Lepisosteus oculatus: one gene and its partners. The protein of the gene in region 1 purifies or fractionates together with the protein of each later gene. This does not show direct contact. Links are inferred from orthologs where the notes say so. Each region holds a gene or a part of one and is shown in the gene's direction. Other genes may lie near its edges. The genes, in order: SMC5-SMC6 complex localization factor protein 2, slf1 and smc5.

What was found.
Region 2: the proteins of SMC5-SMC6 complex localization factor protein 2 (region 1) and slf1 purify together in Homo sapiens (co-immunoprecipitation; 3 studies listed by BioGRID and IntAct, with this or other methods). This does not show direct contact. The link is inferred for Lepisosteus oculatus from reciprocal best matches to the Homo sapiens genes SLF2 and SLF1.
Region 3: the proteins of SMC5-SMC6 complex localization factor protein 2 (region 1) and smc5 purify together in Homo sapiens (affinity purification with mass spectrometry; 3 studies listed by BioGRID and IntAct, with this or other methods). This does not show direct contact. The link is inferred for Lepisosteus oculatus from reciprocal best matches to the Homo sapiens genes SLF2 and SMC5.

Annotation. Positions count from the first base shown.
Region 1 is NC_090699.1:45,370,120-45,377,375, forward strand, and holds the start of SMC5-SMC6 complex localization factor protein 2, read left to right. Parts: upstream 1-4,239; 5' UTR 4,240-4,249; coding exon of another isoform or gene 4,250-4,284; intron 4,285-7,256. UniProt on the Homo sapiens protein: Plays a role in the DNA damage response (DDR) pathway by regulating postreplication repair of UV-damaged DNA and genomic stability maintenance.
Region 2 is NC_090698.1:73,865,358-73,872,836, forward strand, and holds the start of slf1 (SMC5-SMC6 complex localization factor protein 1), read left to right. Parts: upstream 1-4,393; 5' UTR 4,394-4,488; coding exon 4,489-4,699; intron 4,700-4,899; exon of another isoform or gene 4,900-5,052; intron 5,053-6,526; coding exon 6,527-6,696; intron 6,697-7,479. Other genes in the region: uncharacterized protein KIAA0825 homolog, read right to left, coding at 1-41. UniProt on the Homo sapiens protein: Plays a role in the DNA damage response (DDR) pathway by regulating postreplication repair of UV-damaged DNA and genomic stability maintenance.
Region 3 is NC_090698.1:58,127,391-58,135,229, forward strand, and holds the start of smc5 (structural maintenance of chromosomes protein 5), read left to right. Parts: upstream 1-4,769; 5' UTR 4,770-4,791; coding exon 4,792-4,961; intron 4,962-6,157; coding exon 6,158-6,299; intron 6,300-7,406; coding exon 7,407-7,459; intron 7,460-7,708; coding exon 7,709-7,839. UniProt on the Homo sapiens protein: Core component of the SMC5-SMC6 complex, a complex involved in repair of DNA double-strand breaks by homologous recombination.

The DNA of each region.
Region 1 (7,256 bases):
GGTGTCCGAAAAGCATTCGACAGAGTGAGAGGGGTGTTTTTATTAACAGTTTCAGAACATCTGGGTTTGGCAAAATCTTTATCAGATGGATTAAAATGTTTCATCATTTTCATTCACCATCTGTAATAACAAATGCATTCATTATACAAGTCTTGAGGCTATTTAGAAGACCTAGACAAGATCCCTGTGGCTATTTTCTGTCTTTATTGAACCTTTGGCTGTGGCTATCCATCTAAATGTGTAGAAACCTAAACAAGACATAAAACCACTCTATATGCATGATGATATATTACTGTATTTACAACAATCAAATATTACTATTACAAATAATATTTGCACCCATATTTTTCAGTGCTATAAATAATTTTGGTTACATTGCAGGTTACAGATTTGATTGGTCTAAATTAATGTTCCTGTCATCAACTAACCCGATCGGAATGGAAGAGCCCTGGGCCTTCCTCTGCTCCGCCAGTGAGATTCGATACTCATACCAGCTAATGAGAGAGAATTCCATTATCTTTATCAGCTTCCATCCTGAGAATCATCCCTCAGGATCTTGAAAGAACTCCCATCTGTTTTACAGATTGTACTGTGAGAGAACGAATGTACACCCAAAGATAAACCTATTTTCTGTCATCGATGTGTAACAATAAAAAAAAAAGTGCGTGGAGTTCTCGGAAACAAGACAGACCCACACAGAAGCAAAAACGTCCCTGAATTCCCACTCCCACATCAGCTGTAGGCAACACGTGCAGATAAAGGAGGTGTTTTATTTCACCTGTGATTTCCCAATCAGTAATGGGTGTGATTCATTTGGGTAATTGACATTCTGGGCCTTCTCTTCATGTTTGCATTTCCATGTAGATTTCAAATAGCATTTAAATTGGTTAAAACTGAACAAGGGTTTTTTTTCTCTACTGATACTGGGTACAGCTGAACGAGTAAGCAATCCAATACACCTGAAGAAGTAATAGGTTAATTCCATGCTGAAAAGAGAAGAAGGAAAAGGCTGTGGAGCCTTCTTCAGGTGACACCTTTATCCTCTTTTCAGTATGGAATAAACCTTTGCTTGTTCCTTTGTGGCCTACACACGCTGACACAGCTACCCATCTGAACTATCCCAATACACTTGTTGTACATGGCAAATACAAAATCTTGAATCTTGGACTTTGTCTTTAAGTGTGCGTCCGCATCCCGTCTCAATTGTTGGAAGTATATAGCGGATAAATAATTAGAGAGCTGTTGTAAGATTAGTTAGTGATGAATTGTTGAAAAAGCTTGACACATTGAAACTACTTTTAAACTGCTATTAACTCATTTTGTATTTTTAATATGACTCATGGTGTTTCTCCAATATCCAATATTTGGTTTTACCAATGGAATCCTAATCCCCGCTAACAGAAAGACTGGATTTTGTTTCTAACTAAGGTCTGGCTACTGATGACATCTGTAAGTGCCCAATGAGGCTCACCGGTAAGCAGTGAAGCACCAGAGTTTGCAAAGTAACTGGTTTGTAGGTGCGCACAAATAAGCATATTTCTCTTAAAGATTGCTATGAGGTTGTGTGAACCTTCCTCCCCCAGTGGAAACAAAAATAGGAATGGAGTTTTGCACGGAGGATGTTTTCTCTGAGCCCTGTATCTGTTGTGTATAAGGCTACTTGAACATGACAGTGGTACAACACAACTGCTGATTATTGTTAATACCCTGCAGGAAATGTGGGTTTCCGGCACTCTGTTCCTGTTTGCTTCCATTGAGGGAAAAGGGTCATCCATTCAATATAAACGTTTGCACTGAGTTCATTAAACAGCTAAAAGCCTATTATCCTCCAGCCTGATGAAAATAAGAGTAGCTATCTGCTCACAATGTATTGGATAGCTGCTTTCTTGTCTTTTGGTATTGGCCAACAATTATCCAGTTTCAGGAGAATATTTGAGACATCTGTCATCTTGGGCTGTAACATTCCTGTCTCCTTGTTGTATGTTTAGTTGAAGGTATTTCTTCTATTAACTTCAGCAATTCTCAGTTTTTATGTCGGTCACACCTTAAAACTAATAATACCATCTAGAAGCACAGGCCAAACATCTCCATTAACCAATGGCCTAACTTAATGACCGAAACATTAAGACCTCTTGAAAGATTCACTGCTTCTTTACAATAATTAATTCATTTATTTTTATCTAGAATCTTTCCTTATCCTTACTACAACCACAAGGGCGCCACCTCCTCAAATTTCAGGAAACATTAACTGTAGCACTATTGTTCTTTTCATATTAACACACATGCAACAATTTCCCCTTATGGTCAGTAACTGTTGTTGGCAAGTACAATTACTTTTCCATTATAATTGTGCTGGTGCTTTTTTGTAATCATGTGCATATTTATATACATATTCAGCAATAAGTTGTGGTCTATGTGGGTCCTAATTTCACAGTATAGTGATGGGGACTCTATATTTTAAAAAGGCACCGTACTTCGGATGAGACATAAAACTGAGGTCCCGACTCTCTGTGGTCATTAAAGATTTCTCGAAAAGAGTAGGGGTTGTCACCCTGGTGTCCTACCCAAATTCCCCTCTGGTCTCCTAATAATCCCCATCTCTGAACTGGCTTTGTCACTCTGTTCTCCTCCCCACTGATAGCTGATGTGTGGTGAGTGTACTGGCGCACTATGGCTGCTGTTGCATCATCCAGGTGGGGCTGCACACTGGTAGTAGTGGAGGGGATCCCCATTTCCTGAGTGGGGTATTCAGAAAAGCGCTATATAAGTGTAAGGAATTGTTATTAATTATCTCAGCTCTAGCCAATATCTAATAAAAAACAATTACTCTTCACATTAATTTCTTCCTTATACTGTGTTGGAATTTTAATCAAGGCCTTTCATTTTATTTCAGTGGTTATGTTAGACCCAGGTGAATGTAATATAGTAAAAACAACTGTCAAGCCCCAAATTCAATAAAAAAAGACTTTGATAAAATTCAAGACTGGGCCAACACCTGTCAGATTATTTTTAATGGAGACAAGTGCAGGGTTTCACATGCAGGTAGTAAAAACATACACTGTAAATAAAAAAAGGGAAACAATGAAACAGAAGAGACAACTTATTAAAAACACATCAGTTACTTCTTCCACACAATGTGGAGAAAGAAAAAAAAGAAAAACATGTTAAGGTATACAGTTAAAAGCATAGAATTTAAATGTGTTAAAACTGTATCAGTACTAGTGAAATGTAATTTAGAATATTGTGTACAATTTTGGTCGCCATATTATAGAAAATATATCGCTGTTCCAGCATCAGTCCAGAAAGAAGCAACCAGATACTGGGGCTGAAGGCCCTGTCCCACGCTGACAGTCTGATAGGAAGCCAGAAGGAACTGAACTCTTTTCACCTTGAATAGCGAAGAGAACCTCACGGGAATTGAAAGTAATTCCTACCCCCTGCAGTAGGTGGCAGTAGCGCCTGGATTGAGGTTTCGTATCTGGCTGCCTACACACCTCTTTGTAAGTTAAGTCTCCTGAGTTGTTTGGCATGAGAGGCTGTTCCAGCGCACTGCCCCCCCAGGAGATGCGTCATCTGCGCGGACTGTTTTCCCTCCAGCTCTATTGAGTATCCATCTATACGAATAAGGATTTTCCAGTACCCAGAAAGAAATTTGACCAATAGAGCCTCGGAACAACAGGATTCCCAATCACAAATTACAAATCCGAACTCATTAAATAACATGATATCTTTGTTCTTTTTGCCTTAGTTTTCATGTATAATCGAGTTTAGATAATACTGAATTTCCTCCTTATGGACATTAAAAGAGGGAGGTAGCACCGGATCAAATGTTTCGTGCATATGATATGTATCTACCAATTTTTAATAACAGATTTATTATGAATACATTTCCGGTGGTACACCTTACAAAACAAAACATCAAAGTCCTCACATCTGAAGTTTTACATGTCTGCGTAGACTTTGACCGCTCGAGGCTGCGAGAGCCAGTGACGTCACTTCCGAAGACTCTCGGGCGGGTTTTGCGCAGAAGCTGCGCCAGTCCCGCGCGACGTGAGCGCGGCTGTCAGCTCTCCATTTGCCCAGATCTCTTACGTCACCGGCTCGAAACCAGCACCGAAAATATGGCGGCTGCGGGGCTGTCCAGAGAGCGGTGAATTGAGGGCGGGAGAGGGGTTAATTCATTTTTGAGAGAAAGAACCGAGACTCGGAATGGGTACAGGAGTTTTCTAACTCCTTTTTCCCCCCCACAATGAAAGAGAGAAAGCCGCTGGGGCAAACTGGAGGGTAAGTCGTTTCAGCACTGAAATGTGTGGAGTAGCAACGGAAGCTTTGCGGCACAACTGAGCTGCGTCTGTTGTGTAGTTGTTGGAAAGCATTCACGCTGGCCATAACAAGTTAAATAGACCGAGCGTTTCTTCTTTTTTCTCGTCCATGACTTGCGAGCTGACCTTTGCTGACTTGGACAGCGGTGCTGTTTCTGAAAAAGCTGCTGTTCCGTGTTTAGGGTGTAGTCCTACATGTACCCCACTGCAAGTTGAAGCACCGGTTGGCGGTGGTTGGCCGGTGTGAGGCTGTTCTCCCGCCAGGAGAAGTCAGAAGTAAAGTAGTGTGCTGCCCGGATGGACACCGTTATCCTCGTGTGATTTCAGCTGGGAAATCTGCTTTTGCGTTGCGTTTCGAATGGCGACAGTGGGTCGTTTTTGGCTGCGGAGCACAACCCATTCACAGTTGATCATCCTGACCAGCTTAGCTTGTGACTGTCTCGGTGGGGGGTGTGTGGTGTGTGCGCTTGATCACTTGATGCTTTGTCTATGAGGTGCCACTGCGCATATCCTGACTGCTTGTCGTTTTTCCACACTTACTGGTTATTGTCCCGGCAGGGCCCCCCGTGTCGCGCGGGACAGGGGGCTCCGGTCCTTCCAGTTCAGTTCAGTACAGGCGGCGCTCCAAACTCTCGCCAAACCGAAACCTATCTCTGAGTCACGGGGTGCCAGCAGGAGAGAATACCCTGGCCAGGTCACCAGACCTTCTCAGGATACACACAGTATGTAGGGAGACAGTGATCCTGCCAGCATGTTTTTGAAAGTTGAGAAAATCCGTGCGTATATGTGTAGAAACTTAACACAGAAAGTACCCAAAGTCCAGATCTGTGAGCCAGTAGTGCTGTCACAGCACTGTGCCATAGCAAACTTTATTTTTGTGATGAGTTGTGTGATGAGCTACCTGTTAGTTGTCGTGGTCTTGTCTTAAGTCACCTTGTTTACTGCTGATAGCATGTTTTCTGCTGCTGTTTTAAAATGAGTGAAGTTTTTGTTGTTAAGCTCTGTCTCTGTTGCCAACTTAGAGATGTTCAACTTTATCAGAGATGTCTTGGAGGGTAGGTTGCACTTATAAATGAGTCGGGTGACTAGCTATTTTATGGGCTGATATATTTCCGCTGATAAGGAGAACAGAATTTGACAACATAGTGGCTTAATCCCAGTCTGTCCCCTTCACCCATCCATTTTCTTGCTGCTTTTTCCAATCCGGGGTCACAGGTTATCTGGAGTCTATCCCAGCAAACAGTGGGTACACACACATCTTTCGCAGGGCACGCACACGCATACACTCACACCAGGGCCAGTTTTCCCAGAAGCTAATTTACCTGTGACCTGTGTATTTGGACTGTGGGAGGAAATCCACTCAAACACAGGGAGAACATACAAACTCCACACAGATAGCAGCCCAGGAACTGAGCCAAGGGCTCCAGCGCTGTCAGGCAGCAGTGCAACCCACTGCACTGCCAGGCTACCCTCCATCATCTTCAGCACCATATAAACGCACACAGGAAAATACCACGCCTGTCTGTGTAGACCTTTACTGATGTAAAATCAGCTGTGTATATAAATCGGGGTGCTGGTCTGGTCCTTCTGCAGATGTGATCTTTGGTGGCTGTGGTTAGGCTGATATGGTTATTTGCCCATCTTGAGCTTTTAGCCTTCACTTGATGCCACTGGGAGGAAACAGGTCTGAAGGTGGCTGATTTGGATACATGGCAGAATAATCGCTGAAATGCTTTGATAGAAAATTAGCTTTGTGATTCTTGAGCAAGTGTACAACTTGTACCCTCTGGGTTCGGCAGAGAGCCTGGTTATGACTTTATGTGAGGAGCTGGCCTTGGCGTTATACTTTGACTGGTCCTATTGGGAAATAGCCGCCTTTAAGCAGGAGTCTTTGGCGGGGTTGGAGTTTCATTTCTCTGAAAATGAGTTTTCTCTTTGGAGCTAGTTCAAAATATTGCTCAGCAGCAGAGCCGACCGCAGCTGGGATGGGGAGGGGTTTGTGCACAGGTTTGTGCTTGGCACCGAGGTGAAGAAATATTCAGGTAACACGTTAGAGGACTGACCCAGCAGCCTTTTTTGGTTTTGTTATTCGTTTTGTCAGCCTCATAGCCACAGAGCGAACCTGTTGAGGTGCTCAGCACAAAAAGATACAAATGAGTAAAGTACTGGGATCCAGGTGGTGAGGGTGCAAGCCAGGCTTATGTCGCCTTGTTGTGATCAGTTATCCCCCTTGTGGAAGCACATGTTTGGGAGAACGCTGCTGGGGTTTGGATTGGGATTGGCCGGCCAAGTCCTGGGGCTCCAGCGATCGCTGCATCTTCCCGGTCACCTGCGGGCTGGTGGTGGAGTCGGTGAGGGTTGCTGTCAGTGACGAACCTGCTCTACTTCGGGATCGGAGTGTGTACTGAGTCTGAGGATGAAAGAGGGGCTGGAGGGAGTCTTGTCTGCTGTTCCTCCTCTCCATATGGGTGCAGAAGTGACTGTTGTGACAGAACGCTATGTTTGCTGGTTCAGAATCCTTTTAACATACAATTGACAAACAATGGGAAATTCTAAGTTATTTCTGACTCCCAAGAATCTCCGCTTTATTCATCTTAAGTAATGAGCTAGAGTTTTTGTTCAGGAATAAGAAATGTGCTGTATTACTTTGGCGGAAGGTTCTGATATTAAATGTTTATCGGGAGGTTTAGGGATGCTGAATAACCTTGGCTGGGCTCTCTACATCTGCTTGAGTTATGCATTTCGTGGTGGAGGACGAGTTCCTTACTAGTGTAGAATAAAAATCCCCTGGAGACCTTTTTGCTGAGCAGAAGAGGAGTTTATTGTATATTTAGCCAAAGAGAAGCACCCTCCTCTCAATTAGGAAGATGGTTCCAACAATAAAAGTTACGGCTGACCTTTTATACACTTACTTGATAAGGAATACAAAGAGCT
Region 2 (7,479 bases), on another chromosome or scaffold:
GCAAAGCAGTGGTCTTGAAGGAACTCTCCCTGCCACTCCATCTCTGACAGCTGGAAGCAAGCACAACACACATCGCAAGCCTGGCTTCCCAGAACATCCACATTTTCCCCTTATTGGCAAATGTGAAATGACTCAGTCACATTCCAGGAATCATTTCAATGAAAAAATAAACGGATTATTTTATTCTGTTATACATAAACATAAAATTACGACATCTCAGAGACAGTTATTTGATTTCCCTATGGGCAGATCGCAGATTATACATCCACTGTATCATCTGTCTGACTTTACACCAACACCTGTGTGGAGTGAGTGTTTTATTCCTTTATTTTTTCTGTCTTGAGACAGGCCGAGGCACTGTGCGAAGCAAGGACTGATCATAAATGCATAGACTCGGTGAAGGACTGCAGGACGGTAATGAGTTAACAGAAAAGGGATCTTCATTCTCATTTTAAATAAACAATCCCCCTCTGCTGCTGTATTCTTTAGTACTTGATACTTAACATATCCTAACAGCAAATCCAGCACTGGGGGATCTATGATATCAACACAGTCATCATGAGTCAAGTGGACTATAATGGAGAGTGTCAGTGTCAATTTCACTTTCTCACACTCCCTTCCCTTCATCTCCCCTGATTTTAATAATCCCTGTCAAACTACAAACAGCCTGCGATACCTTCCTGACACAAAAGCCTTCAGCTCGAAGACAGAATCTCAACATTCATTTACCCCGTACAAAAGAAAGCTGTCCAGCTGGACAAATATTATTTCCTCACTTGACAATCTCTACAGTTAAGCTTGTATTTGTATTATTTCCTCTTCTCTCCCCCCACCAGCCCCTCTATCAGGCAGCCAGTTTATAAAGGGACCTGCTGCAATGTGCAGGGTTTCATTTGTGGGATTAGAAAGCCAACGATGTAATTATGGAGCAAAAGGAGAAAAAGGAAATATGTTACACAAAAGGCTGCACATCACTGCATGTGTCTGAAGTAAGCGAAAGCAATGATAAAGTGTCAAGTTTTTACTGTCACTGCAAAACCCTAATTAGGACAAGGCGGACTAGATTTTTTTTTCATTATTTATTTTGAAAACAAATGTGAAAACTTCAGAGTTTTTGAAAGCTGCCACACAGGGAAGACGTATTTATTCACACGGCAGTTACCACATCAAGTGAAACGAGCTCATCTCGTCTCTCACATACATACCACCTATACTGTTCTTGTAATAATGAGGAACTTGTAAAATATTTAGCAGCCTGTTCTAACAGTGCAGATGTGCAGCATTTTTTTAAAACATAGGCAAAAACCTTTGATTAAATTTACATCAATATTTTGTTAATTTAAAAAAAAGATGCATAAGCAAAGCCAAGAATGATAGACACTATTATAGTCATTGAAGATGCAAGTACATTTGAACATATACTGTAATTTTAATGAATACTTTGTTTCTTTAAACAGGTTTTGAATTAATCCATAATTCAAATATGCATATACTGAATGTATAACTCAAAATATATTTCAGATTAAAAAGTAACAACCATGGTGAGACAATGACAGCCTGTTACAATTAGAAGGTCTGCAGATTGTAAACTGTGCATTTAGAGAAACTGTAGGCAGTTTAATCATGAAAACAGTTAGCTTAAATCCTAGCAACTCTCCTTTCATTCCTATTCGCTATAAATGAAAATAGCTATTTGTGTGATGATCCCAGTTTAAACATTAGTTTTTATTCATAACAAAGGCCATCACCTTACAGCTACAGAACTAATTTTAAAAAAATGAAATTGAGTATTTCACTTAATTGTGCTTGAAGTCCAGCTGATTTTCAATAAAACTATTTAATTTATTAATCTCTGTTTCTTCTGATGAATATACCATAGTTTAGCGTAGGTTAAAGGTTAAACACAGCTAATTGTGAATATTTCTTATGAGAAAAAGAAAAGTCTTTGGCATACAGTGGAGGTTAATTGCTAAAAGGATTTTAAATGAGCGCCTTATCTTTTTATTTTGTGTAGTATTCAAGAATGTGGCATTGACTTTGTGCACTTAAAACTGTTAATAATTAGAGCTGTGCAATAAAATCCTTGAAACTTCTCTGGCCACAGGGCGAACAGGCTGGTTTCAGTCAGAGAGGGCAAGAGAAACCTCTCACGCAAGTGTTTCCTGAAAACGTCTCTGAAGTTCAGCAATATGATTCTTTAAATTATATGCCATACAACTTGACATTATTTACCCCAAGTTTGCACATTTACTACTATTACTACTATTAGAGTAGACTAACATTTTAGGTATTTCAAAGGTCTGCAATTTATTAAAGACCTCTTTTTTTAAAAAACAAAAGTTTTTTTTTTACTTCCATTATGCTGGTCTTTATACACTGGTAGAGATTTCCTAAGACATAGCCAATGCAACAGAATTGAATGCTCTGGTGTTCTATGTAGAACACAGGTGGCACAAGCATTAAGTGAACTGAATACACACACAATACACAGTGAAACCACATGTAACTCAAACTTATCTCAAGTCTTCTGTTTGTGCACGTTGTAAGCTTGTGCAATTTTCAAGTTCTATTCTATTACCTTTGGTGAAAGCTGCCCATTACACGCTGTTATAAAAAAAATCTTCCAAAAAAAACAGAAGAAACATCCTTAAAAAAATTAGATAGGACATGTATTACCATGCAAATAATATGTTAATATTTTACTTCATCAAAGGCTGAATTTTCAGAACACTTCCTCTGCTGTGAACCAGCCCAGCTCAAGCAAGAAAATAACAAACCAATCTGGGATAGAGTCCTCCCATCAGAAGAGGTCAAAGCCTGAGCTCTATCTCCGTTTTCCATTCAAATAGCAGAAATGCCATTTTTCATTGTTTAAAGGTTATTTATGCTACAGAATCGTCATAAAATCCATTTCTGGATTGTTGACGTTGTCTTGGAAAGAGGTGGATGGATCCTTGCTTTTCTTTTTCAAAGGAATACTTAACAGAAAAGGATTGTCAAACTGTAGGGCACATTTATTGGGCTTTAAGTGTGAACAGACACTCTGATAACATATCTTTTGAGGGCAGAAAATGGGGGGGGGGGGGTCTAGGAACTGTCATTTTAAGGCCTTTAGAAACAACTCCCTGTCGTTTAATGGGGGGGGGGCTAAACAGATGGAAGAGTCCAACAGCAGTGAGTCAGCTTTCTGTATCCGAGAGACTGATCGCTTCTAGTACAGTATTCAATGCAACTACGTGTAGAAAAGCAGACAAGGAGCACAGAGAGAACACAGTACCTTGAGTCAAACGGCCGAGTCCCGGGACTTCCTTCCCACTGCCTGTGGACGAGATGGATGACTGTTTAAAACACACTTTTAAACTGGGGTCATAGAGTGAAAGACTCGTCTAATACTCAAGGGAACCGCCAATGCAGTATCATCTTAAAGTGTCTGACAGCTTACTGAACGGTGGTTCAAACCGCGACAAATGTCCAGTTTCCCTGGTACTCACGAGTTCAAACCACATTGCAAAATAAATGAATCATTCCTTTATCAATTTACTGAGACCTTTCCTTTATTCTGAAACTATCGTTACAAGAGCATACATTGCTCCACCTATTTAACAGTTGCAATAAATATGATAGTAATAAAATTAATTTACATTTGTTTATAGTGCGAGGTCGTCAGTATTTTTTGGTGAGGTATGTTTTTCCAAGTTTTGAAAACACATTCAACGGTTCTCTGATAGACTTATTGCAGGTGCCAATCAAAACGACGACCCCAGTATTTTGTAGTTGTCGTTTGTTAAAATATCCGCCAATAAATCCGAGCGAGATCATAAAAAAACACACATACTGTATGTTGTTTAGACGTGGCTTTGAACAGTTTTATGTCCAGCGTCTAGGCTATCGTCAAATGTTTATTTACGTTTTTTGGAAACAGTACTAAAAAATGCTTATGAGGCATCCGTGTGCGTTTACAAAAAGGATTCCGTTTCAGCTAGAAACACTGAATGAGCGTACCAGGACCCACAACGGGCAACACAGATTGAAATTAATTTCCCGCATCATGAAAGTGAAACCCTCACTCCTCTCACAGCCTAAGAGCGTCTCTAACAACCAACCGGAAGAAACAACCATCAACTTCCGCCGCAGAGGACTAGCACATCACGGTTTTCTGGGTGTTTGAGGTGGTCCGACGAATTATATTTCAGAGACATAAACATTCATCAACTAATACAATATATATGTGACGTCTTAAAAATTAAAGTATATTTGGTAAAATGTACATAACATTGAATCTAAAGTCAATCCCGGTGTTCGGAGCCGACACATGCCCGTGTTCACCCCTGTTATGGAAGTGAAACAGTCCGCCCGATCGTCCCCACGAGACCGGTGAGACTGGAGCATTCGCAAGCGGCAGGGGTGTCTGTGTTTGGGGGTGCGAAAGGTTGGTGCGGGTGCGTGACTGGAAAGAAGCTTTCTTCCCCCCCCCCCTCCCCACGGCTGATGCTATTCGCGAGCTCTTCGAGACAGATTCCACTTCCGCGCCACTTGTTTTGGTGGATGGTGGGGTCACCTTGCGGGTGGTGTTCTGGCGGCCCACCCCTGCTCGTACAGGGATGGTACGCCCCCGGCCGGGCGCGTGCTGGCGGTCTGAAACCTTTTGGCGCTAAAATGAGCGGCGCTGGCAGGGGTGGGGATGTGAGCGGTCTGCAAGGTACGTCACGGCCCTAAAAATACTGCGTTATTAAACTCGTGTCACTTATTCTACAGCGGGCGCCCTGTGTAATTCTGGCAGTGGGAACGGTGTGATGTGGTTCACTTTTTGGCGTGAGGCTCTGGACTCCCCGTCACAGCTGCTGTGACTCCGTGTCTTTTGTTTTGATTTTTTTTTTGTTTTGGTTTCGGTTCCGCCAGCGCGGTCGCCTGCTCCGAACACCTGGAGGAGTTTCACGTCTCACCCCCCGTGTGGGTGAGTGACCGTGGGGTTTCTCCCTGCGGGGTAAACCTCTGCCGGGTGTCCAGGAGACACGGATAACTAATTCACAACGGGGAGAAGAGGAATAAAAGGTGCGAGCCTTATGGTTTTAAAGGCGTCTTTTCTTTTTTTTTTAAATATGTTTTGAAAGGAAAGGAGAACTTGCCATTTTTTGATAAGCTTGGGGTTCGTGTTTCTAAGACAGAAAATAGTACAGCATCTTAATATTGGTTTTCCTCCAGGCCAGATCGAAACAACCTTGAAACGGCTAGCAAACGTACTATATTCACCCCCCCTTGGACCTTTTCACATTAATAGACGCCCAATGTATTTATTTGGGGCTTTTTGCCATTGATCAACACAAAACACGCTATAATGTCAAAGTGGAAACGAATGTGAGAACAGATCCTACTTAATCAGTTATAAATACAAAGCAGAAAATAAGCATTTGCATAAATATTCACCCTCCTTCACTATGACACGCCTAAGTGGGCTCTGGTGTCGCCGACAGATGTCTTTACCAGTCACATCATTTGTTGGATGGGGTCCACCAGCGCGCAGTAAGGGTGTTTCACATGCGTTCAGGATAAGTGTAACTGAACACGTCTCTGGGAGGTCCCACGGTTCATTATTACAGCTCCCAACACAAGTTACATCATGAAGACAAAGGAGCTTTCACAGTAAGTCATGGAGAGGGTTATTGAAAAGCTCCAGTCAGGGGAAGGGTATAAGAAAATTTCCAAGGCATTACATTATATCCCCCAAAGCACAATAAAGTCCATTCTAAAGAAATGTAGACAATATGGCACAACTGTGAAACAGAGTGTCCTCAAAAACTGAGTATCTGTGTGAGAAGAGCACTAGTCAGTGAGGCCATCAAGAGGCCTGTGACACTTCTAAAGGAGTTAGAGTCTTCCATGGCTGAGATGGGAGAAACTGTGCATATGACATGGGTGCCTTGTCACTGCATCAGGGCCTGGAAGAATTGTGACGTTAGAAGGAAAAATGGATGCGGAAAGTACAGAGAAATCTTGGAGGAAAACCTGCGACAGTCTGCAAGGGACACTGGACCGACCCAAAACATACGGCCGAGGCCAAGCTTTGGAGTGGCTTGGAAAGTCAAAGCCCGGACCCCAATCCAGTCAAGCATCCGTGGCAGGAGTTGAAAAATTCCTGTTCATCAACTTTTTCCCATCCAACCTGAGGGAGTCTGAGCAATTTTGCAAAGTAGAGTGGGCAAAAACTGCGGTGTCCCAGTGTGCCGATAAACTGAAGCAAGCAGACCCATTACCGTGATTTCTGCCAAGCATGCCTCTCCCACATACTGATAAAAAGGGGGTGAATACTGTACAGTATGTGATCAGTTATTTTCTTTTTTAAATATTGATCATTAATTTAGGAGGATTTGTAGAATTTCGTTTTCCCTTTGACATTACAGAGTGTTTTCTCTCGATCAGTGGCGAAAGCTCCCGGTTAAATATATTATGATTCTTTATTGTAACACAATAAAAATACAGTGAAGTTCATGGGGGAGGTGAAAAGTTTTAATTCCCTCTTTCTCACCAGCTTCAGTCTGCAGAAACGGGGTTGAGAGATGTCAAGGAATGTGTTGTCTCTCTAGAATGGCTGCCGAGCCGGAACGCGTTTTCCAGATCTCTGGAATCCGAAACGCAGAGACGAAGAGGAGTTTGCTGAAGTGCATTTCCAGTCTGGGCGGGATATACGCTGGTGGATCGGTGAGTTGGGGTTTGTGTCCAGTCCTGCTCCCGGAGTGCTGGTGTCTCTGCAGCACTTCCAGTTCTCCTTGAATGACCAGCTGGGGGGGATCAGCTGAGACAGTAATCAGCTGTCAAGGGAAAGGGAACGACCGTCCAACCCACATTCCCACATTCCCAGCGGGACCAGCACCCTGAAGTCAGGGAATGACGAGCTCAGTTAGGTCTTTCAGAGAAGAAGGAGTGATGGCTGTCGGTGATCGACATTCTGCACCTCTGATTAAGCACTTGGTCGTGTTTAACAAGCGGCTGATCGGCAGTGGGTCTTCTAAAACAGTTCTGTTCTGCGCGGTTGAGAAAGGTGCAGTGCCCTGTTGGCTCAGCTTTAGGAAGCATGCGTCCACTCTCTTTACACCACACCTGGAGCAGAGGGCAGCGGATCTCGAGGAAACCCCCTTCATTAAAATGCTCGTCCGTCAATATGATTTTCGCGTGTGACAAACTTTTTTGCTTTCGGGTCTTTGATTCTGGCCAGCTTCATTGAGTTGAATTTTAATCTAAAATGATGGAAGGCTACGCTGTACCTATCACTCAGTTGATTAGAATAATAGCAGCTGAAGGTTAGATCTGATAGCTGACCTAATTTGTTCTGATATTGCAATGTATTTTTGACTTTTTAATTTTATCCTCGCCCTCAATTGCCTCTTTTTATAGTCATTGCACCTTCTTTGCAGTGATTGTAATCCCCTGAGCTGAAACTACATTATAAAGTTCTTGACCTTTTTTTCCCTTCCTACGAACGTG
Region 3 (7,839 bases), on another chromosome or scaffold:
CGTCTGTCACAGTGGCAACCCTATCCAGATTCCCCCTCGCCTGTCTGCTCAGTTTGGAGGGACATGTTAATCAATGCAGTTTCTGGGTGGTACGATATACCTTCAAATTCTTAATGATTGACTTCATTGTGGTCAAGGTGTCCTTGAAAGTTTTTTATTCCCTTCTCTTGATCTGTGCCCTTCAATGCTTTTGTCCCTGAGTTGCTTTTAAAGCTCAAATCTACCTGACTGAGGACCTTCACAGAGACAGATGTGTTTATTCTGATATACAATACATTACCTTGAGTTGTCCCTCTGAGTCTGGTGATCCTAAGTGAGACGGGGTCAATCACACATCATGTCAGTTAATAGTATTGCTAGAGTCTTGTGAAGGTAGTCGATGAACCTTGAATCATCTAATGACTTCATGCTGCTAGGCTTCTGCGAGCAGAATTCCTCGAGTGTAAAGCCTCTCTTCTTTGCTGAGCTGTGACATTGCTGCAGTCTAATAAAATCAAGAGAACTAGTGCGCAAACACCACATTCACATGTCGCATGTCATACTCATAGTCATTCACCTTGAGTAGTTTTTTCTGTCTTATATACTGTATGTCTGTATTTATAGACAAACAATATATATGAGGTAACTACAGTATATACTGTAAATAAGACATTTGAAATTAGCATTTGAGGAGAAAATGTGCTAAAATATATCAATCTATTTACTAAGCATAGTAATTATTTAAAAATATATGCACTTGACATTATTTAAATATGCAAAGGAACAAGTAATAGGTTTATTCCATGCTGAAAAAAAGAAGAAAGAGAACACAACGTTTCGGCCGTGGAGCCTTCTTCAGGTGTCACACCTGAAGAAGGCTCCACGGCCGAAACATTGTGTTCTCTTTCTTCTTTTTTTCAGCATGGAATAAACCTATTACTTGTTCCTTTGCAGCCTACGCATGCTGACGCAGCTACCCACCTGAATTATTTAAATATTAGCATCAATCAAGGAAACAAGGTAATTGAGTTAGAAATACTAATGTATAGTATAAGTATATGACAATGTTATATATTGTAAGGAGTTTGGTGTTGTTAATGAGGTTTTCATAGCCACATGAGCTCAGTTTACTACAGTAAATGGGTTGATTTCTGTCTTATCTGCATTTACAATTGTAATCTTACTCTTAGTTTCACAAACATTAAAATATTTAACTTGATCCAGTTTTATAAAAATGTATATAACTGTTTTATAAAATTAGGTTGCTATTGCACAGTGCTTTTGGCTTACAGAAAATCACTAATAAATTATTATTATTATTGAGAACAAATGTTGTGTTTTTAAAATTAAAAAAAATACTGGGAACTACATAAGTGTCAGTTCTGTTTTTAATTTTTCTAACTTTTTTATTTTTTAACATTTACCACAAGTATGTCAACCATACAACATACTTTTTATGCCTTCATTTCATTGGCTGGCAGGCACCTCATTATTGAGTGTCACACTGCTACAAAGCCTCCTCAAGTATTTTCATTGATATCAACATTGATTGAAAATGAAGTGAAAAGTATAAGTTTTTACAAAAGAAGGCTACTGGACTCCTATTGGCTCAACTTCAAATTCACTCAGTGCTGAATAGAATAGAATTGTAAAACAAATGAATTTCTCTAAATACAAGCTTCAGATGAATGTTCCAGTGTTATTCTATTAATTATTTTTTTAGATGACATAGCTGCTGAGTTTTATAGCTAGGTGAGTCTAAATCCAACTCAGTCTTGGAGAGATCATGAGTTTTTAGGTTTTCGAGGCCTCATTAAAACAGCAGCACCTTATGTACTGGGAGTTGTTGGTCAAAGTGATCAGATTAAGCCAATAATGAGCTAGTTGAAGTTATTAAGAGCTTGGAAGGAAAGAGAACCTGTACATCATCTTTCTAGGACTGAAGTAGTGTCATCCTGCCCTAATAGATAAACTAAAAAAATACAAACAGCACACATGCTTTAAACCAGAGTTCACTTCTAGGACTCACCCACTGAAATACTTGCACATTGTAAACATCATTAAAAGGGGCAATTTAATAAATCACAAGGAAACTACAGTGCCAAAACAGTTTGGGTTCATACATTTACATCAAGTGAAATACTGTATTCTCAGCATTCATAGAAACCTTATTACACTATGTTTGTTTTTAGAAAATCCAGTATACAGATTTTGTATATTGATTAGCTGTTTTAGGCATCATTTGGAGTAATGGAGCATTCCTGACTCTGTGATTACTCTCGAGTGCCCATGACGTTGCACTTTACTTGCATAAGCAGTAAATCACCTCATGAGAGAGAGAGCTGACTGGGCGGAGGTGATGAGTTGATTTATCCAGCTAAATGTCAAATAGTGGTGAAATTCAAGAATTGCAAAACAAAGAAAGGACCCATATGGCCCACCTACCAAGAGGACAACAGCTTTTTGCCAGCAGCATGTTGCAGAGGCTTTAGGTTGGCTTGCGAACAGTGAAGCCAAGTCCCTTTTAGCAGTGAACCACAGTTTTATGTTGCCCACGCTGATGGGCACACATGCAGAATAATGGAATGCCACCAGGTGTCATGGAGTGTTCATCAGTTCCTGTTTTGGCACGGTTTCACTCATAGTGATTGATAGCTCTCCAGCCCCCTAAGAGTAACCTGACTGCACTGCCCTACATTGATAAAGGCCTGGCCTTCACCTACTCCTCCTCCTGTGGGCTCATCCTGGTATGACAACTGTCCAGCAGGAACACCCAGCTCCTCATGCTCGTGTAACAGTGACTTGCCTGAGAAGTGAGAATGTGGATCTTATGGTTTGGGTGCACTTGCCAGGCTAGAGACTAACTGGACTAACTGGACATTCGTGGGATGATCTGGGGTGACATAACATCTAGGGCTTAGAGACCAGCGAATGGGCAATGTAGTAATAACAAATGGTTATCAGCATTAAGAATTGAGCCATATTATCTCTTTTGCACCTACTACAAATTTTTCTGATCAGAACGTAGTGAATTTGAAGGTGGAAATGGTGTTTCTTTTGATTCTCATTGTAGTTCCATATACCAAACCTTTGATGGACTAAAATCTTTAATTTTCCTGTGAACATCCCTAATGCTCTACTCCCATCTAGTGGAAGAAAACAGTACTATTCTTCACTATTCTTTGTGTGGGGTCCAAAGACATACTGGTAGGTTAATTGGCTTCTGGGAAAATTTGCACTGTTACTATCTATCCCTTATCAGAAAGTCTCTCATTTCTGTGAGCCCATGCATGCAAGAAGTGCTGTTATTGTGATTTCCCCAGATCAAATATGCTCAGCACATTCTAAGCTGCTTGTTTGTCAGAGTGTCTCTAAGCTGTTAAAAGACATGTGTTTTGCACATGTTATACCAGTGAATTCTAGCCCTGGTACTGTAGGAATACTGTGTCCTCTCTCTGGCTTTTGCTCCAGTCATGTTCTAAATTACAGGCTAATTGATTTCAGTTTTCTGTTTTGGGTATATACAGTATGTACATTTGGTACTGGAATCCACACTGAACCAATGCTTGTGTTACAGAGCTACATTCTTTCAAGGTGTGCTGCTTGCGATGTAGCTGACAGAACCTCTGACTGCGGGAGTGTGTGAATTATTGTCAATCGCCTGAGTGTGATTGTTAGAAACTGATATGGTGTCAAGAGCTATCTGGTCAGAAATCTGGTTAAGCAAATTGGGTTTCAACTGTTTAATGGTCTGTTTATGCTGAGGGTGTTGGAAACAGCACTTTTCAAGTGGGGGTAGTGCTGAATGCTACTGCAGGAGCAAATAAAAAAAACTAAACAATCATGGTTATCCATTAAAGGCATCAATTAGCACTGCAGATTTAGAGTTCAGCTGGATGGAAAATCAGGAAACATGACATGTATGATATTCTGCTAAAGAGTTCAATGCAATTGTCTCTCAGCTATAAACCCAAACCTAACACAGCAGAGTGATGAAGCCAATATCTATGTATAGATGGGGATTATTTGGAGGCCATGATTGGTAATGGCCAAGGGGGTATTGGATCATGGAGCGGTGGCACTGAGGCTAAGCTGGGGTATGTGAAAAGACAAATTCCTAATGCAAGAAATTGTATTCAGCTAATAAAGTGATCTTCATATGGACACCAGAGTAACACCACTACTGCTTTCAAGAAACACCCTGGGACTTTTAATGACCAGGGAGAGTCAGGACCATTGTTTTACATCTCATCCAAAGGACAGCACCTTTTTACAGTATAATGTCCCTGTCACTATACTGGGGCATTAGGACCCACCCAGACTGCAGGTGAGTGCCCACTACTGGTTGCACCAACACCTCTTCCAGCACCAACCTTAGTTTTTCCAGTAGGTCTCACATCCAAGTACTGGCCAGGCTCACACCTGCTGAGCTTAAGTGGGCTGCCAGTTGTGAGATGCAGGGTGATATGGTTGCTGGCTAATAGGGCAATTGAAAACAGACGTGCAACTAACTGTACAGAATATACTGTAGAAAAATAAAACACCAGCTTGTTCTTCCCAGGATATGTGTTTATGTCGACCTTTGCTGCTGTCTTTGGAGACTTACAAGGTATTCTAAATCCGTCGTTACACAACGGCAGCATCACACCACGTGTCAGAAAACTCACTTTGTTTTCTACCGGTTTGTACGTCACGGTCTGCCTGGTTGAAATGCTGGGAGTATAACCAATAGCGAAGGTTTCCGGCAGGCGGGAACCTCCTGGTGCTTCCCTCGCCTGCGTCACAACGCGAGCAGTTTTTTTATTCGTCAAGATGGCGGCCTCTAACAAGAGGAAGCGAGTCAGTCACCAGTTCGCGAACAGCAACAACAGTGAAGGCGCTTCAACTTCGAGAGCAAACAATACGCTTCATTCAGTTGGAGATGACAAAAAAGACCACTTTGTTGAGGGGTCCATTGTCAGGATTTCAATGGAAAATTTCTTGTAAGTAGACGGGCGCTAAGATGCTCGAACAGCGGCACAACGCCAACTTACTGCCGCTGCGTTCTACTTTTTGAGACTTGAGTTTCGTTATGATATCAAAGAGGCGTAACGTGCACAAATAGCAATATTTTAAAAGTTGGTGCTCACATTTCATTTGGGCTTGCTAATCTCGCACCTGAGCTTAGCAGCTGAAGAAGAATCAATCGGAAGAAACGTTTTTGAAACGCGCATCATTTGGTGGTGCAGGTGCCGTTTGGTTTATGTTCTCCTAAAATAGAAAAATAAAAATACGCTGGTGTTCGAAAACAGGCAAACAAACACATTGCTGAAAGGGCTAAACAAACTAGCGAATTTATTATGTTAAACCGAAATCTTGACACTTTTATTATTATTATTATTATTATTATTATTATTATTATTATTATTATTATTATACTGCAGATGCAATGTTTCTATTCAGTGGTGTAGGTGAATTGCTCTCCGGGCTTGTAGACCCGTGAAGTCCACCTTATTTTTATTCACCTTATAGGTGAAGCAGTTTCTCTCTTCACAAGATCTGTGTTACTGTTAGGGTCCTGCTGGCGCAGAATTCCCCTTTACTGGGGAATGAAACAGGTTCTCGTATTATATATAATATGTACGTGAAGCGCTTGAACAACGGTATCCCACACAGGACTGTGTGCAGGTTTCCTCCATTGTGTCTGCATGATGTCTACACAGCTCTCGGTAGTTAATTCATGACGACGGTGCATCATCCAGGCGGGTACTGCACATGGGTGGAGGAGAGTTCCCACTGCCTGGAAAGCTCTTTTACTGGAGTGTCCAGAAAGGCGCTATATAAATGTGCAAACGCTCAGATATCCCAGATATATGTTTAATGAAACAACAAAAAAAGGCTCTCCCGGCAGAAGCGTCCCTGTGTTTACATGCGACCATGGCATTCTGGCTTCAGACAGGTGGCAAGTGTACCCTTCAGAGACTGTCTTTTACCAAAGAACAGTGTACTTTCTAAAAGGAGCAGACGTTGCCCCTTTTACCATTGTATATCTGAATGCGATGAGATGCTTTTACACTCTTTTCTGTAGTTTCATGGAGTGAAAGTCTGGTTTGACCTCTGTTATGGGTAAGTTTTGTAAAAAGGCACTTTTAAAGTGATGAAAAGGCATGGTCGGTTTTGTTGTTTTTTTTTCTTACAGAACCTATGACAGGTGTGACGTGTATCCAGGACCGAATCTGAACATGATTGTGGGAGCTAACGGCACCGGGAAATCGAGCATAGTTTGTGCCATCTGCTTGGGGCTCGCAGGAAAGACAGGATTTTTAGGAAGAGGCGATAAAGTGAGTTGTTTAGTTTCTGGATTTTCATGTTGTAGGGTATGAATTTTACGAGAGGGGGTAGTGTCCGTTTTCAGAGCCTCAGTGCTGCGGTTTTTCATGAAAATTTGGTGCCTTGAAGTCAAACGTGTCTCTCTCGGAACAGAAAGTACATCATGTAAGTCAGGCTGTCAGCCAAAGCCTTTAGCTTATGTTGAACAGAAGAGGCCTGGACCTCCTGGCATCTTCTTCAAGGCACTCTAGGAAGGGTTGGTACTTTACAGTTGTGGAGTTAGAATGAATGTCCGATTTCCCAGAACTGTAGAGTAACTCCAGAGTTCCCCACCCTGCTCCTAGTGAACCACACTCCTGCTGGTGTTCATTTCCCCTGAACCTGGATACCTACCCGGATCTTTTACTGAACCAACAAGTTGCTTGATGGCTAATGGGTAATTTTTTTTTTGCCTACCCCAAAGGTTGGGATTGTCTTTTTTTTATGAAGTGGGCCCGTTGAAAAGTGGAGAAACCCATTTCAACATGTTTAAGAACATGAAAACAGACTCGCAATTGAAATGAATTCTATTTGTAAGTCAGTTAAGGGTTCAGTGGTGTAACTGGGAGCTTGGCTTGGGCTGCTTGCACCAATAGCCCCCTGTTCGTTTCCTGTCAGGTGGTTAGAAAGGAATGTGGATTTCAGGACCACAGAGCAGCACACCGCCTTTTGATCCCTAAATTAAAGAATTTTAGTTGTCTGTTCTGTTTTTTTTTCCACTTGTAGGTGCTATTTGTATCTCAGGTGAAACAGATATTGTTCCTAAAAATTTACAAAAGTTAAAAATAAATCCCTTCTGTGAAGGAAATACATTTTTTACTCTTCATCTGTAATACGTTCATAGGGATACAAAGTCAAACTTGAAAGTTTACTTTGGACCTGGCTTTTAAAAGGGTAGGTTTAGCTCCGGCATTTCACAATCCCCATTAATTTTCTAATCTATTGTTTGTGCCCAGCAGTCTACATTTTTGTTTGTAAATTTACTTAATTGTAATAGTAAGGGTTTACTGTATATTTGTTAATTCCTAATGTAAGGCTGTTGTGCTTACAATGATTTAATAGTAATATTTGTGTTTTAGGTTGGTCTTTATGTAAAACGAGGGTGCAGCAAGGGTTCCATTGAAATTGAATTGTAAGTAAAAAGTCCTGATAGTTGATAGTAGATCCTAAAATATATGTTCTGGGCAGAAATATGAATTGCAGAATGTGCAGTTTATTTGAACTATTAAAGCATTTTCAAAAATTAACGTCCTTTTGTGGAAAGGGACACAAAAGGTAATCTGCAACTTTTCTTAAAATTGTTTAACTAAAGTATTACCCAAGCATAATGGAGTTTTTTTTGTTAAAAGTACTTCATCTTATTAAACAATTTTTTTTGTAGGTACAAGTGTGAAGGCAATCTTAAGATAAATCGAGAAATTCACGTTGAAAACAATCAGTCCACATGGATGATCAATGGCAAACATGCAAGTCAGAAAACTGTGGAAGAGGCAGTGAAAGCACTTCAAATAC